Linked DNA regions of Oryctolagus cuniculus. The protein of the gene in region 1 interacts with the protein of each later gene in a biochemical or structural test. Links are inferred from orthologs where the notes say so. Each region holds a gene or a part of one and is shown on either strand. Other genes may lie near its edges.

Region 1 (6,690 bases):
AGGGTCACCTACGACTCCTTCTGCAGTAAGGGGACGCTCCTGGGCCAGCGCAGAGGGGACTGTGACGACGTGCAGATCAACGTCCCGGTGAGCAGGCAGGGGGCTGTGGCTGAGCGGGCCAGGCACTCCTTGTGCAAGGGTGTGGCACGCGCCCCTCAGCCAGGCTCGGAGCCGACAGCGGTGGGGCAGACACGGGCGCTCACAGCCGCAGTTGCCAGGGTTTGCCTGGTTTTTCTTTGCTTGCTTCATTTTGTTTTCTGAGAAAAACACAAAGGCGTGGACCACACAGTGACCGGCGACAGGCCTCGAGTTATGGCCCCGATATTTTAGGTTTAATTTTGTCACTCAGTTTCTCTGTCGCTGTGAAGTAACACTCACAGTGTTACTCGCGGGTCGCAAACGAGTTTCTGCCCAGAACTTCTCGGACTTGCTCTGGCTGCTTCTGCTCTCTGTGCCACCCCCGGGGCCGAGGGGCCGGCACTGCCGCCTGGGGGTGGGGCCCCGGTGCTCTCAGGCTGCGATTCACCCCTGCGCTTGGGGTCGGAATCTAACTCCCTGTCCAGCGTCTTCACCCGCTGGGCTTAGGGACGAGCTCTGTGGACAAGTTGTCCCCACACGGTGGCTCCAGATGCCTCTCCCTGCCTGTGTGATGGCGAGTGTTCCAAAGACACCGTCCCCAGTCAGGCACCGGAGGTCCTTGGTGCTGGCCTTGCTGTGTCTGCCAGCACAGAGCCTGGCTCCAGCTCGCCCCCGCCCTCTCACCCTGCTCCTCCCTGCAGGATCCACTTCCGCCCCCACCCTGGGCAAGCTTGTGCCCCCAGGGCCCAGCTTGGCCGGGGGCGGGAACAGGGTCAGGACACCCCCACCCCCCCATGCCCGGCCTGAGCCCTGCCCCTCCCCCTGCAGGTCACCTTCCAGGTGAAGGTCACGGCCTCCGAGTGCATCCAGGAGAAGTCGTTTGTCATCCGGGCCCTGGGCTTCACCGACACGGTGACGGTGCGGGTCCTCCCCCTGTGTGAGTGCCGGTGCCGGGACCAGAGGCAGGAGCGTGGCCTGTGCGGGGGCAAGGGCTCCATGGAGTGCGGCGTCTGCAGGTGAGGGGAGCAGGACCCTCGGCACGCAGCCCGCCCGGCGGCTCCACCCGCAGAAGGAAAACTTGGGCTTCCACACACAGCACCCCCCACGCCCTCTCCTCTGACCCCCGAGCCAGGCCATCGGCAGGCAATGCTGACCACGCTCCCCATTCTCTGGGCGCGGGGGCCCAAGGCAGGGCCGGCAGGGACACCCTTTCACCATAGGCAGGACCCATAGCAGGGCACAAGGAACCTCAGGGGTGGCTGTGGCCTTGCACTGGTCACTTTCTCCATCCAGCCTCTGTGTCCCTCCCCCACAACCCATTCTCTCTGACTTGGGGAACCCAGGAGTAGCAGGCCAGAGTGCTGGGGCACTACGGGGCGTGACACCCCACTTGGGGGGTAGGGGGTGGGCACAGTGGGCCCAGGCTTACATGGGTGGGCTGAGCACCTGGCCTTGACCCCCTGAGGGTCAAAAAGCCACACCCTCTGTCGCCATGGCCACTCTTCCTCCCTCTCCACGCTCGGGTCCTGAGCAGGGCCACGCCTGCAGGCATCCCAGGGTGGGTGTTTGCTGGGCTCCTACACATCCCCACGGCAGCGGTGACGACCGAGAGGCACGTGTCCAGCTACACCTGTCTCATTCAGCCCCTGGGGCCCCCAGGGTGGCCAAGCTGAGCCCACACCCCTTGGACAGCTTCACCTGCCACACCTGGAGAGGCCAGGAGCAGACAGCAGGGCGGCGGAGTGCCATCCTCGGTGCAGGGGTTGGGAGTGTCCTCCTGCCCGGCTCCGTGCCCGGAGGACTGGCCCACCCCAGGACCTCTCCTTCGGCCCACACCGCACCTTGCCAGGCTACACAGGCACCCTCACGCCCGCTCAGGCCTGCAGAAGGGGCCAGAGCCACAGCCGCCGGCCCTGCTGGTGGGCCAACCCCCTGTCGCACGACTGCTGTCTCCCCTCTGACTGCTCGCCCGGTCTCTGCCCCATTGGGCTGCTCTGTCCCTCACCCTCACCCGGCCTCCACCGTCCCCACACCTCCCCCCAGCAGCGCTGCAGCAGTGGTGTCTCTGAGACTGCCCTGGGCCTGCCTCAGTGGCCGCCTGCCTCTGCCGTCCCTGCCCCCACATCCTCTCAGCCTCGCAGTCAGGGCTGGGGGGGGGGGGGGGCTGTGACACGGCTGCAGTGCTGCCCCAGGGCAGGCGACAGCGGGCAGGGGGCCACAGCGTGGCTGCAGGAGCGCCTCGGGCCAAGGTCACGCGTGCTCCTGCCCACGACGTCCTGGCACTTAGGAAGGGCAGACGCGGCGTGGAACAGCAGGTGTCTCGGCCACCGCTGAGTCCCTCCCTCCCCGCCAGGTGCGACGCCGGCTACACCGGGAAGAACTGTGAGTGCCAGACGCAGGGCAGGAGCAGCCAGGAGCTGGAGGGAAGCTGCCGGAAGGACAACAGCTCCATTGTCTGCTCGGGGCTGGGGGACTGCATCTGCGGGCAGTGCGTGTGCCACACCAGCGACAACCCCAACAAGCAGATCTTCGGGCGGTACTGCGAGTGCGACAACATGAACTGTGAGCGCTACGACGGCCAGGTCTGCGGTGGCAAAAGTGAGTGGCCCGGACTCAGGCCTCGCTTGCTTGTCCAGTGGGGGGGGGGGGGCAGACAGCGTGGGACACGGGGGGCAGACAGATGGACACGTGGGTGGTTAGGAGAGCCCTCCCCTGCCCAGAGGGTGGGTCTGTGAGGGGGAGGTGACCTCAGTGGGTGACCGTCAGGGCCCTGGGGAGGAACCATCATCCAGGGGGGCCTGTGGAGGTCCAGGCTAGCCAGGAAGTTGCTGGTGGGGCGAGGAGGACCTGGACAGTTGCTGCAGGAGGGGGGACAGACAGAGGCGGGGCAGTGGGAAGAGGCCGGGCGATGACCCAGCAGAGGGAGCAGCCAGCAGGGCAGCAGCGTCTCCAGGCCCCTGGGTCAAAGCAGTGGCCACTGCTGTCTCCAGAGAGGGGGTCCTGCTCCTGCGGCCAGTGCCATTGCAACGACGGCTTCGAGGGCTCGGCGTGCCAGTGCAAGAAGTCCACGGACGGCTGCCTGGATGCGCAGGGCGTGGAGTGCAGCGGCCGTGGACAGTGCCGTTGCAACGTGTGTGTGTGCAAGAAGGGGTACCAGCCGCCCATGTGCCAGGAGTGCCTGGGCTGCACCTCGCCCTGCGGCCAGTACATGTGAGTGTCACCCCACCCCTGGAGTGCTCAGCTGCGGCCCCACCTCTGTATGTGGGCAGGGGGCTCTCAGCAGGCCGTAGCGCCTGACCACCCCTGCCCCAGGTTTGACTGCACTGTGGGGCTGTCTCTCTGGGGGCCTCAGGCTTGGGCCCTCTCCTGGCCCCTTTGGCCAGGTGTCCCATTCCCTCCGCCCTCCACCCCAGCCTGGCTCTCGGTAGGCGCTGGCGTGGGCCCCATCTGACGTGCACACCTGAGCCCCTCCCCCTCCGCAGCTCCTGCATTGAGTGCCTGAAATTCGACAAGGGCCCCTTTGGGAAGAACTGCAGCACCCAGTGCAAAAACCTGCAGCTGGTGGACGTGGCCCTGCGGGGCAAGACGTGCAAGACGTGCAAGGAGCAAGACTCGGAGGGCTGCTGGATGGCCTTCACCCTGTGCCAGCGCCAAGGGATGGACAACTATGATGTCCACGTGGAGGACAGCCGAGGTGAGGCCGGCGGGCCTGTGACGAGAGCCACGGCCCCGGACCTCCCCACACGGGGGGGGGGGGGGCGCTGCAGAGGAGGGGTCTCTCAGTGGCGACGCGTGGACGCTGGTGGCCAGTCCACCTGTCCCACTCCTCCCACCCCCGTCAGTTCTCTGACCTGTGACGGGCACACTGGGGGACACCACACGGCTCAACCCCAGGTCAGCTGCCACCTGATATCGAGGGGCCAAGGCTTGGAGCCACGGCTGCCAGGCTGTCCCCCAGGACAATGGGAAAATCCAGGGGCCCAGACTGTGGGCGCTGCTGCGTCCCAGAGCGGGTGGCCGCCTGTCCGTGCGGCTCCCAGTAACAGCTGCGGGCTTCGTGACCCCAGCCCTGTCTACTCGTGTTCGGGCCCCGTGTGCGGACTGCAGGAGCCAAGGGGAGGGTCCCTGAGGGCAGGAGAGGAGGATGACAGCACCAGGCCGGGGGGCGGGGCCACAGTCATCACGGGGCCCCAGGAGTCCTGGCAGACGCCAGGGCCTACCAGGGGCCAGCGCTGGGTTTTCCACAGAACAGTGACAGATCCAAGTTCTGTTGGTATAACTCAGCAGGCAGCCGGGTGGACGCTGTCCTGTCAGGGCCGGGTGGACACTGACCTGTCAGAGGCCGGGTGGACACTGTCCTGTCAGGGCCGGGTGGACGCTGTCCTGTTAGGGCCGGGTGGACACTGTCCTGTCAGAGGTTGGATGGACGCTGTCCTGTCAGGGCCGGGTGGACGCTGTCCTGTCAGGGCCGGGTGGACACTGACCTGTCAGAGGCCGGGTGGACACTGTCCTGTCAGGGCCGGGTGGACGCTGTCCTGTTAGGGCCGGGTGGACACTGTCCTGTCAGAGGTTGGATGGACGCTGTCCTGTCAGGGCCGGGTGGACGCTGTCCTGTCAGGGCCGGGTGGACACTGTCCTGTCAGGGCCGGGTGGACACTGTCCTGTCAGGGCTGGGTGGACGCTGTCCTGTCAGGGCCGGGTGGACACTGACCTGTCAGAGGCCGGGTGGACACTGTCCTGTCAGACGTTGGATGGACGCTGTCCTGTCAGGGCCGGGTGGACACTGTCCTGTCAGAGGTTGGATGGACGCTGTCCTGTCAGGGCCGGGTGGACACTGTCCTGTCAGGGCCGGGTGGACGCTGCCCTGTCAGGGCCGGGTGGACACTGTCCTGTCAGGTCTGGGTGGATGCTGTCCTGTCAGGGCCGGGTGGACACTGTCCTGTCAGAGGTTGGATGGACGCCGTCCTATCAGGGCCAGGTGGACGCTGTCCTGTCAGGGCCGGGTGGACGCCGTCCTATCAGGGCCAGGTGGACGCTGTCCTGTCAGGACCACGTAGGCAAATTCGTGCCAGGGTCAGGTGAATGAGAATGAGTGGTGACTGCCCTTTGGGAGGCTCTGGCTTGCTTGGCCTCCGCCCCCCTGAACAAAGGGTTTGCCAGGGCCTCCACCCGTCACTGGGATGTTCTTGTGTCCTGCGGGAGCCAGGGCTGGCTCCCTCCGTGCTCCACGGCTACGGTTCAGGACGGTGTCCTCACACCACTCGGCTCCTCCGTGTGCACCTGTGGCGCACCTGTGGGCACACCCTGGGGCCAGCAGGAAAGGGGGGGCTGACGCTCTGTGTGGCCATTTCCTCCGCAGAGTGTGTGCAGGGCCCCAACATCGCCGCCATCGTCGGGGGCACCGTGGCGGGCGTTGTGCTCATCGGCGTCCTCCTGCTGGTCATCTGGAAGGCACTGACCCACCTGAGTGACCTCCGGGAGTACAGGCGCTTTGAGAAGGAGAAGCTCAAGTCCCAGTGGAACAATGTAAGTGGGCACCTCTGGGCGCAGGAGGCTGCAGGCGTGGTGCGCACCCTCCCCGCCCCCGGCACAGCCTCTGCTGCTGGGGACTAGCTTTGCTGCTGAGGCCGGAACCCACGAAAGCCACCCCACCTCGGCTCCTTCCCCAAAGCAACAGCGTCCGCGTCGACCTAGCACCTCCAAAGCTCTGCCCCTCAGCCTCCCCCCCCAACAAGTCCGTGTGTGCTTTTCCCACCAGGATAACCCGCTTTTCAAGAGTGCCACCACCACGGTCATGAACCCGAAGTTTACCCAGAGTTAGGAGCACCTGGTGCCCGCGGGACATTGGACGCACCCGCTGGGACCCCTGCACCGCGGCTCCTGCACGCTGAGGCCATGGCGCTGCTCACGTCACCATTTAGCCCAAGTCCACCATCCCCTTCCCCTTCACAGAGCCGGGGGGTGGCCTCCCCTTCTGGCCACAGTCTTCGAGAGAAACGTAGAACGGCACCGCTCAGTCATGGTGTGGATGCGTGTCTTCCTTGTGAAGGCAAGCAGTGCAGCCTAACCCGAGGTGGCGCGCATTTATTTATACTTACACTTCTCAGGGTGGACATGTTCGAATCAGTTATGTGTGTAATAAAAAATGAATAAAACTTCCACACAGGCTGTACATGGGAGCTGAGCCCCGTGGCCCCCATGTCAGAGGTGGGCTCTGAGGGTGCAGCGCTCTGCTGGCCTCTCCCCCGCCCCTTCCCCACCTGCCGGCCCAAGCATGCGTGCTGGCCAGCTTTCCAGAAAGAACGCGGAAGCCCCGGCAGCGGGGGCTGCTGCTGAGCCTGCCGACCCTCGCCCCTCTTCTGCCACCTGTCAGGTACAGGCCTGCTCTTGGGAGAGAGCTGTGGTGGGCAAAGCCGGAACCCGGGGAGAGTTTTAAAGGAAGCTCTGTTTCCCACGGGTGGCCTGGGTGATCCGGGGTCAGGTGATGCGTGGATGAGCCCAGGTGGTGTGTGGTCTCTCAGGATGAGGACCCAGGCATGGAGATGCCCAGCAGCCCACGTGCCCGTTGCTGGGAACAGCAGCCCTGGGCCTCAGAGTGGGCAGGGGCTGCTG
Region 2 (7,466 bases), on another chromosome or scaffold:
AGCACCTGAGTCCCTGCCAGAGACCCGGATGCAGCTCCAGGTTCCTGGATCCTGCCTGACCCAGCCCTGGCTGTTGCAGCCATCTGGGGAGTGAACCAACGGGAGGGGGTGGGGTGGCGGTTGTTGAGTGTGGCTAGGAGATGCTGTAACCCGGACCTGGGTTTGCTGGGTTAAGCTGTTACCCGCCTATCAGCTGCGCCTCTCATTAGTGCTGGGGGTGGGGGGAGGAAGGTGGAGCCGGCTCCCAGCCTGGCCTGAGCTAGAGGCGCAGGCCATCAGGGAGCAGCCACAGGGACCCTGCTCACGGGTGTTTTCTCTCCTAAGAAATCCTGCCTCGGGGCCAGTGTTACGGCACAGCCCGTTAAGCCACCACTTGGAACATCAGCGTCTGTGTCGGACAGAGCGCTAGTTCGAGTCCCGGCTGCTCCACTTGGAATTCAGCTTCCGGGCCATGCACGTGGCCCAGGTGCTACCCGTGGAGGGGACCCAGGGGGAGCTCCTGGCTCCTGGCTTCAGCCTGACCCAGTGCTGGCTGTTGCAGTCATTTGGGGAGTGACTTGCAAATAAATAAATACATCTTAAAAAAAGAGAGAGAGAGAGAGACTGAGAGCGAGGAAGAGGGTGCGGCCCCAGGCAGAGCCGGGGACAGAGCCCAGAACACTCGGGAAAACTTTCAGGCCACGAGAAGGTAGGGAGGAGTCGGCCACGCTGGGGATGCCGGGAGGGACATCAGGGCTAAGGGAACTGCAGGGCGGCCCCACAGGCGCTCAGAGCGGGAGCGGCGATGCCCACGCTGGGGCCAGGCCTCGGCCGCCCCAGCTCTGTGTCCAAAGCCCCTGTTGGCCCCAGGCACGCTCCCTGGCCGGCCTGAGCCCGCCTGGCAGCCAGCAGGAAGCCGTGCCCTTCCCGCAAATGGCGACAAAGCGCTGGCAACGGCTGCTTCTCTTTGCAGGGAACCGGCGCCGAGGGGGCCCAGGACCAGGAGGCGCGAGCCCCTGGGCCCCCTGCCCACCGTGACCCCACCTGTGCCCCTCACGCCCCAGCCCCAGCCTGGCTCCCCTGGGCCAGAGCAGCCACCGCCCCACCAGTCACTACGCGTAAGAGCAAAGTCCTCCCGCGGTGATGACCTGAGGCCCTTTGCATGTCCCCCTTGTCCCCTGGTGCCTTCCTGGGCTTTGTTCAAATGTCACCTCCTAGGTCTTTCCCAAAATACTCTGCTTCAAGCTGATCAGCTGGGGCTGGCAGTTGGGGTGTAGCGGGTTAAACCGCATCCCATGTGGGCGCTGGTTCAAGTCCCAGCTGCTCCACTTCCGATCCAGCTCCCTGCTAACACACCTGGGAAAGCAGCAGAAGATGGCCCAAGTGCTTGGGCCCCTGCACCCGTGTAGGAGACCCGGATGGAGCTCCTGGCTCCTGGCGTTGGCCTGGGGGCAGTCATTCCCTTTGGGAGAATTTTGGAGAATGAACCAACAGATGGGTGCTCTTGCTCTTATCTGCAACCCTAACATTTCATATTCCCTCCCCAGGCCCTGCCCCCCCCCCCGGTAGCAACAAACACCTGACGCATAGTAGGTGCTTAATAAACCCCCACACCACAAGCTGAGACGGCTAAACCACCCGAGCGCGCTGCAGGCGGACTCTGCGCCGCTAGGGGGCGCGCGCCGCCCGCGCACCTGTTGGCAAGGGGGCCGTGCGCGCCCCAGAAAAATCCGGTTGGATTTTCCCAGACCCTCAAAGGCACACACACGCCCTCGGTCCCACTCTCTGATTCTGCCCAGGCCGCCCCGGGGCGGGGATTCAAGACCCCCGAGCCACCCCCTTCCCCAAGAAAACAAAGATCCCCGTGGAAATTCCTTAGAAACAGCCGGGGCGCGGGGAGGGACCCCTCCCTTCCCCTTTTGCGCGACCTCCCTGGCCCCTTGCAGGTCTCCATGGCGACCCCAAGCGCGTCCAACAACAGGAAGCTTAAGGCGGCCAGGCCAGTGCCCGGGTCCTTGGGGTCTCCAGCCTGGATGCTGGCTCCAGCCGCGCCTGCTCAGCGCACGCGCCCCGGCTCCCCGGCTCCCCTGCTCCCCGCTGCCTCAGTTTACCCCGCGGAGCCTGAGAAAGCAGCGGGGGCGCTGGCGGCGTCAGGACCACAAGGCTTCCTTCCTGATTCTGGGAGCTGCGAGAGCCGCCCCCGCGGCCCAGGCCAAAAGGGGAAGCGAGGCCGCGGGGGTGGAAGCACCCGAGGTTCACGCGCGCACCCTGAGGTTCCGGGGCCCGCGGGTGCGCCCCGGGAGGAGTCCTGGACTCCCAGCAAGCCCACCCTAGCAAGGGGGGCGGTCTGCTCGGTTAAGGAGCGCTGTGCGCGCTGGGGAGTCAGTTTACCCCCTCTGTGAAATGGGCACAATCCCCCCAGGGAAGCCGGTAGGAGTCACTAAAGCGCCTAACGCAGTGCAAACAGGGAATCCAGGTTAGCCCGGCCCGGGATGGGGAGGGGACCGGCGGGGCGGTCCGCAGCCCCGCCGCCCCGCCGCCCCGGGGTCGCCGCCGCCGCGCCCTCCTTGCTTCAGTTTGGAAACTCCGGCGCGGGAGCCGCCAGCGAGGGAGGACCCCCCTTCTCGGGCCGGGCACCGTCTCAGCCCGGAAATGCCTGAGCCCTTGTTCCGGAGGGGAAGGCTCAAGGTTTCCGGGAAAGCACCGCCCCCCCCCCCAGGCCCCCCGTGGCCGGCGGCTATAAGAGGACCCGCGCGCCGCGCGCCGCCCCAGTGCGCACCCTGCGCCCCGGCTCCGCGCTGCTCCGCCCGCGTCCTGCCCGCTATGGCTCCCGACCGCGTCCGGCGCGCGCTGCCCGCGCTCCTGGCCCTGCTCGCGGCTCTGCTGCCAGGTGAGTCCCGGGTCGCACACGGCCGCGCGCCCTGGGCGCAGGTGTGGAAGGATCGAGACCATCCTCCGCCCCCTCGGTCTCCCGAGCGGGGCCGCTGCGGAGTCGGCAGCCGTGGGCTCGAAGCCACATCCCGCGGGGGCCACCGGGCTGGCGCCTCCCTGACTCAGTTTCTCGGGAGTGGGGGAGGGTCGTGGCGCCGCTGCCCTTGCGGGATTCGCGTGGCCGCCCCGCCCCGCTCCGCCCGGCGCCTGGCCCCTGGCCCCGGGACAGCCTGGTCACGCGCTGGAAGGCGAGTTTGGCCCCGCGCCAAACTCATTAATCTTGGGGACCCCTCTCCCCCCCCTGCCCAAGACACATTCTGTTCCTCCTCTTCTAACCCCCTGGGGAAGTCCAAGGCTCGGGGGAATTCCAGGGCGCGCTTCTCTCGGGGTCAGGAGCTGAGCAGTGGGACGCCGCAGCGCGCGCCCCCCGCCCCCTGGAAACCCCGGCCCCAGCGTGGGGGGGGGACCGGCCCAGGGGCTGCAGGGTGACCCCGCCCCCCACAGCGGGAAGCGGGAGCCGGAGAGCTCCCTGGCACCCGTGTGTAGCTCGGGAACCTCTCCTCTCTCCGGGCCTCTACCTTGCCCTCCGAGCAATGGGAGCGAGTCCGCTTCCCTCTCTGGGAGATCCTTTGCCGCTGCGATTCTCCCAGCCTCCCCCACCCCACCCCCGCCCCCCATCCCGTCCCATCCAGCCCAGATAAAGCAAAGCAGAACAGGAATCTTTGGGCCCCTGGGGGGGGTGGGTGGGAAGGGGCGGCTTCCATGGGATTTTTATTTTTTCTGTTTTGGGGGCACAGTTTAAGGAGTGGCTTGGAAAACGGCCCTTTGCTACTTACCCTTCGAGGTAGCCACTGGCTACGCTGCTGGCCTGGCTTGGGTGGGGTGACTCCAATGCACCCGCATTACAGATGGGAAAATCGAGGCCCGGACAGGGGGAACGACTTGTCCCGAGGGGTGAGGAGCCTGACTGGGGGGAGCTGGCCTCCTGGTGGTGGTGGTGGGGGGGGAGAGGCAACTGGCCTTAAAGTCAGCCTCTGCCTCCAGCCGCCCTGGGTGGAAGGACACGACTTCAGCGCGGAGGCCTCTGGAGCCCCCCACCATTGTCGCCATGGTTCACTGGGCCCCCGACCGCCCTGCACCTGCACCTGCCGGTTCCTGCGGCCTGAAATCGCTTTCCCTTTTCTCGGGGGGCCCACACGGTCTCTGTTTGTTCTCCAAGCTCTGATTTCGGAACATCGGTTCCTAGTTATCTGTTGTTTGCTCATGAGCCCTCCTGGGGCTCCCACAGGGAGCCCTGGCTTGTGCCCGGCGGCGCGTACGCGTGCACGTGCGCGCCCACGCGGGGTTGGTCATGCGCGCTCCTCCGCCCCGCCCCGCCCCAGGCCCCGGGGACGCGCAGACGTCGGTGTTCCCCTCGGAAGTCACGCTGCCCCGTGGCGGCTCCACGCGGGTCAACTGCAGCGCCGCCTGCGCCGAGCCGTCGAAGCTCGGCCTGGAGACGCAGCTGAGCAAGGAGGAAGTGGCCCACGGGGACAACTGGAAGGTGTTCGAGCTGAGTGACGTGCAGGAAGACAGTACCCTCATCTGCTTTTCCGACTGTGAGAGCCAGTCCATGGCCTCTGCCAGGCTCACGGTGTACGGTGAGTGGCCGGGCCGGGGAGGGGCTCCCCCGGGGCGCATGGGACGGCCCCTGCTAATGTGCCTGGGAAGGCAGCGGGCGGTGGCCCAAGGGCTTGGGTCCCCGTCGCCTGCGTGGGAGACCCGGAGGGAGCTCCTGGCTTCAGCCTGGCCCGGTGCCGGCTGTTGTGGGCATTTAGGGAGCGAACCAGCAGAGGGAAGACCTGTCTGTCTGTCTCTTTCTCTTTCTGTCGCTCTGCCTTTCCAATAAATAAATAAAGCAAAATACACAGACTGGGGCGGGTTAAACCCTGCTTGGAACTCGCGCTGGGCGCCTGGGTTCAATCCCAACTCCGCTTCCAGTGCCGGCTCCCTGCCAATGAGCACCCAGACGAGGCCCGGTTTTGGCACAGTGGCCGCCGTAGGAGGATTGTGCGGGCGGGGCTGCACGGCCTGGCGGCGGGGAATTGGGTGGCAGTCCTGGGCACCAGCCCCGGCAGGGGGCCTGCCAGGGGCCCGGGGGCATTTGCCAGAGCTGTGCTCGAAGGGCAGAGGAACGCAGAGGCCTGCGAAGGCAAGAAGTGGTTTGGGCGTGCAGTGGAATAGTATGCAGCCGTGTAAAAGAAAGAGGTGGCTCCTTGGACACGAAGGAAGGCACCCCGGGGGTGCGCTGTGAGATTGAAAGGGCCTGGCCCCCGCCCCCCCCCCCCCGCTGGCGGGGTGGAGCCTGTGTGCTGTGCACCCCCCAGGAGCACCGTTGGCCTTGGGCAGAGCGGCTCTTGGAGAGGGTGCTGGCGCTGGTTGGGAGGGGTTGTTTTCTTTGTGTGTCTGCGTGCCCTCAGGGATTCTGAGCTGGGAGAATGGGTCACCAAAGCAAGAATGCACACGCACAATGTGTGTGTGTGTGCGCGTGTGAGTCAAAGCGAATCAAAACAAGGAAGAAAAACAGAGAAGCGGATTTAAAAAAAAAAAAGAAATTATTTCTCTGAAAGGCACAGTTGGAGAGAGGGGGGTGGGGGAGACAGAGAGAGGTCTTCCATCTGCTGGCTCACTGTCCAGATGGCCACAGCGGCCGGAGCTGGGCCGATCCGGAGCTCCATCCGGGTCTCCCATGTGGGTGCAGGGGCCCAAGCACTTGGGCCATCCTCCACTGCTTTCCCAGACCACCAGCAGGGAGCTTGGACCGGAAGTGGAGCAGCTGGGACTCGAACTGGCACCAGTATGGGATGCCGCGCCGGCCCCAGGGAATGGCTTTGGAATTGCTTATCTCGGGCCCCAGCCCCAGCGTGGCTCTTATAGGCCAGGGACCTTGGTGGGCGACCTTGGGGTTGCAGCCCGTGAGCACAGACTGCTCCTGGCACAGCCACAGCCTGAACGCCCTGGGCCCTCGGCGGCCTTATCTCTGCTGACTGAGCAAGTGTGGCCCCGCCCCCGGGATAGGGAAAGCCCTAGACATTCCCAGTAGCCCCGGAAACCCCCCCCCCCGAAACTGTGCGAGGGACCTGGTGCCTTCCTGCCTGGCTCTTGAGATCCATCTGCCTTGCTGGGCCTTCGGGTGCTGTGCTGCCTTAGCTTCCACATCTGTGAAATGGAACACTCCATTTCAAGGGGAGGGGAGACTCGAGCCTGGCCTTCTCCCCACCCCACCCCCCACCGGTGTGGGTGACATCCCTTCTCCACAAAGGTTAGACATGGAATTCCTAGGCGGTGGGCTTTGAGGGATGTGTAGGAGTTTGTTGAAACAGGAAGCGCCTAGACAGAAGTGTGGAACGGGGAGCGTCCCGATGTCAGGCAGGAGAAGTTGCTGACCGATCGGTTAATGAGGCGGCAGGTGAGGGTAGTCTGGACGCCTCTTGTCAGCGGGGTGTTGGGGAGCCGTGGGGGGTGAGTGAGCAGAGGGCTGGACTCAAACAGGAAACAGGGGCAGCCTGGCCGTGGGCTTTGCCTGTTCTCCCCGTGGTCTGGGCCCTGGCAGTGCCCAAGAGGGAAAGGCCAGACAAATATTTGAAGAATGAGGCAGGCTGAGGTGGAGAGGCCCTGAAGTTCAAGTTCGAGGTCAAGGGGAGGTCCGGGCAGGGCAGACTTGCTCCCGGAGCCGGGCCGGGCCTGGCCGAGGATGGCTGGGCTCCTTGGGGGGTAGGTGGGGCTGAGGTTTCGGGGTTGGGGGAGGAAGCTTCAGATGCAGCAGGCTGCAGGAGGAGGTGGCTGGAGACCAGAGCCTGGCCCCTGAGGTCTCTCTTGACCTTTATTTTACTGTTTTTTTTTTTTCACGGCTTTTTTGAGGGAGAATTTACACAGCACACAATCCACCACGTGCATTCTTGGTATATTAATAGCCTCGTGCGACCGTCACCACATCTTCGTTTGCACGGCACTTGCATCCCCCCCTGAAAAGGAAACCGGCTCACTCTGTCACCCTCTTCCATGGGCTAGCCGAACGCCCGTCTCCAACAGCCCCGTTCTACAGCTCGGGAAGCTGAGGCAAAGCCGCAGCCAGGCTGGGAGTGGAACCGAGGCCTTGCTGGCTCCCGGTCGCTCAGTGGCACCGCTGTGCCCATGTCCAGGCCCCGGGAGCAGGGGCTGGGGAGGCGCAGACGCTGAGACCCTCCGGGGGACGCTGGGTGCAGGGGAGGGAGATCTGTTCTAAGCCACTCCCCGTCAGGTCTGGTCTGTCCCTTGGGCCAGATGTGATCCACGGCCTAGAGTCCCAGCGTGTGTGCTGTGTGTATGCAAGGAATATTCATTTTGGGCATCCATGAGTACTTTCTTAAAAAAAATAAAGAATATTTGAAAGGCAGAGTTACAGACAGCGAGAGAGGTCTTCCATCCACTGGTTCACTCCCCAAATGGCTGCAACGGCCAGAGCTGTGCCGATCTGAAGCCAGGAGCCAGGAGCTCCATCCGGGTCTCCACACGGGTGCAGGGGCTCAAGCACTTGG

The links.
Region 2: the proteins of ITGB2 (region 1) and ICAM1 form a complex in vitro, tested with the Homo sapiens proteins (4 studies listed by BioGRID). The link is inferred for Oryctolagus cuniculus from reciprocal best matches to the Homo sapiens genes ITGB2 and ICAM1.

The regions. Positions count from the first base shown.
Region 1 is NC_091435.1:1,710,041-1,716,730, forward strand, and holds the end of ITGB2 (integrin beta-2), read left to right. Parts: coding exon 1-87; intron 88-906; coding exon 907-1,094; intron 1,095-2,431; coding exon 2,432-2,676; intron 2,677-3,068; coding exon 3,069-3,288; intron 3,289-3,560; coding exon 3,561-3,772; intron 3,773-5,437; coding exon 5,438-5,604; intron 5,605-5,836; coding exon 5,837-5,899; 3' UTR 5,900-6,237; downstream 6,238-6,690.
Region 2 is NC_091447.1:67,090,331-67,097,796, reverse strand, and holds the start of ICAM1 (intercellular adhesion molecule 1), read left to right. Parts: upstream 1-2,711; 5' UTR 2,712-2,802; coding exon 2,803-2,869; intron 2,870-4,292; coding exon 4,293-4,550; intron 4,551-7,466. UniProt on the Homo sapiens protein: ICAM proteins are ligands for the leukocyte adhesion protein LFA-1 (integrin alpha-L/beta-2).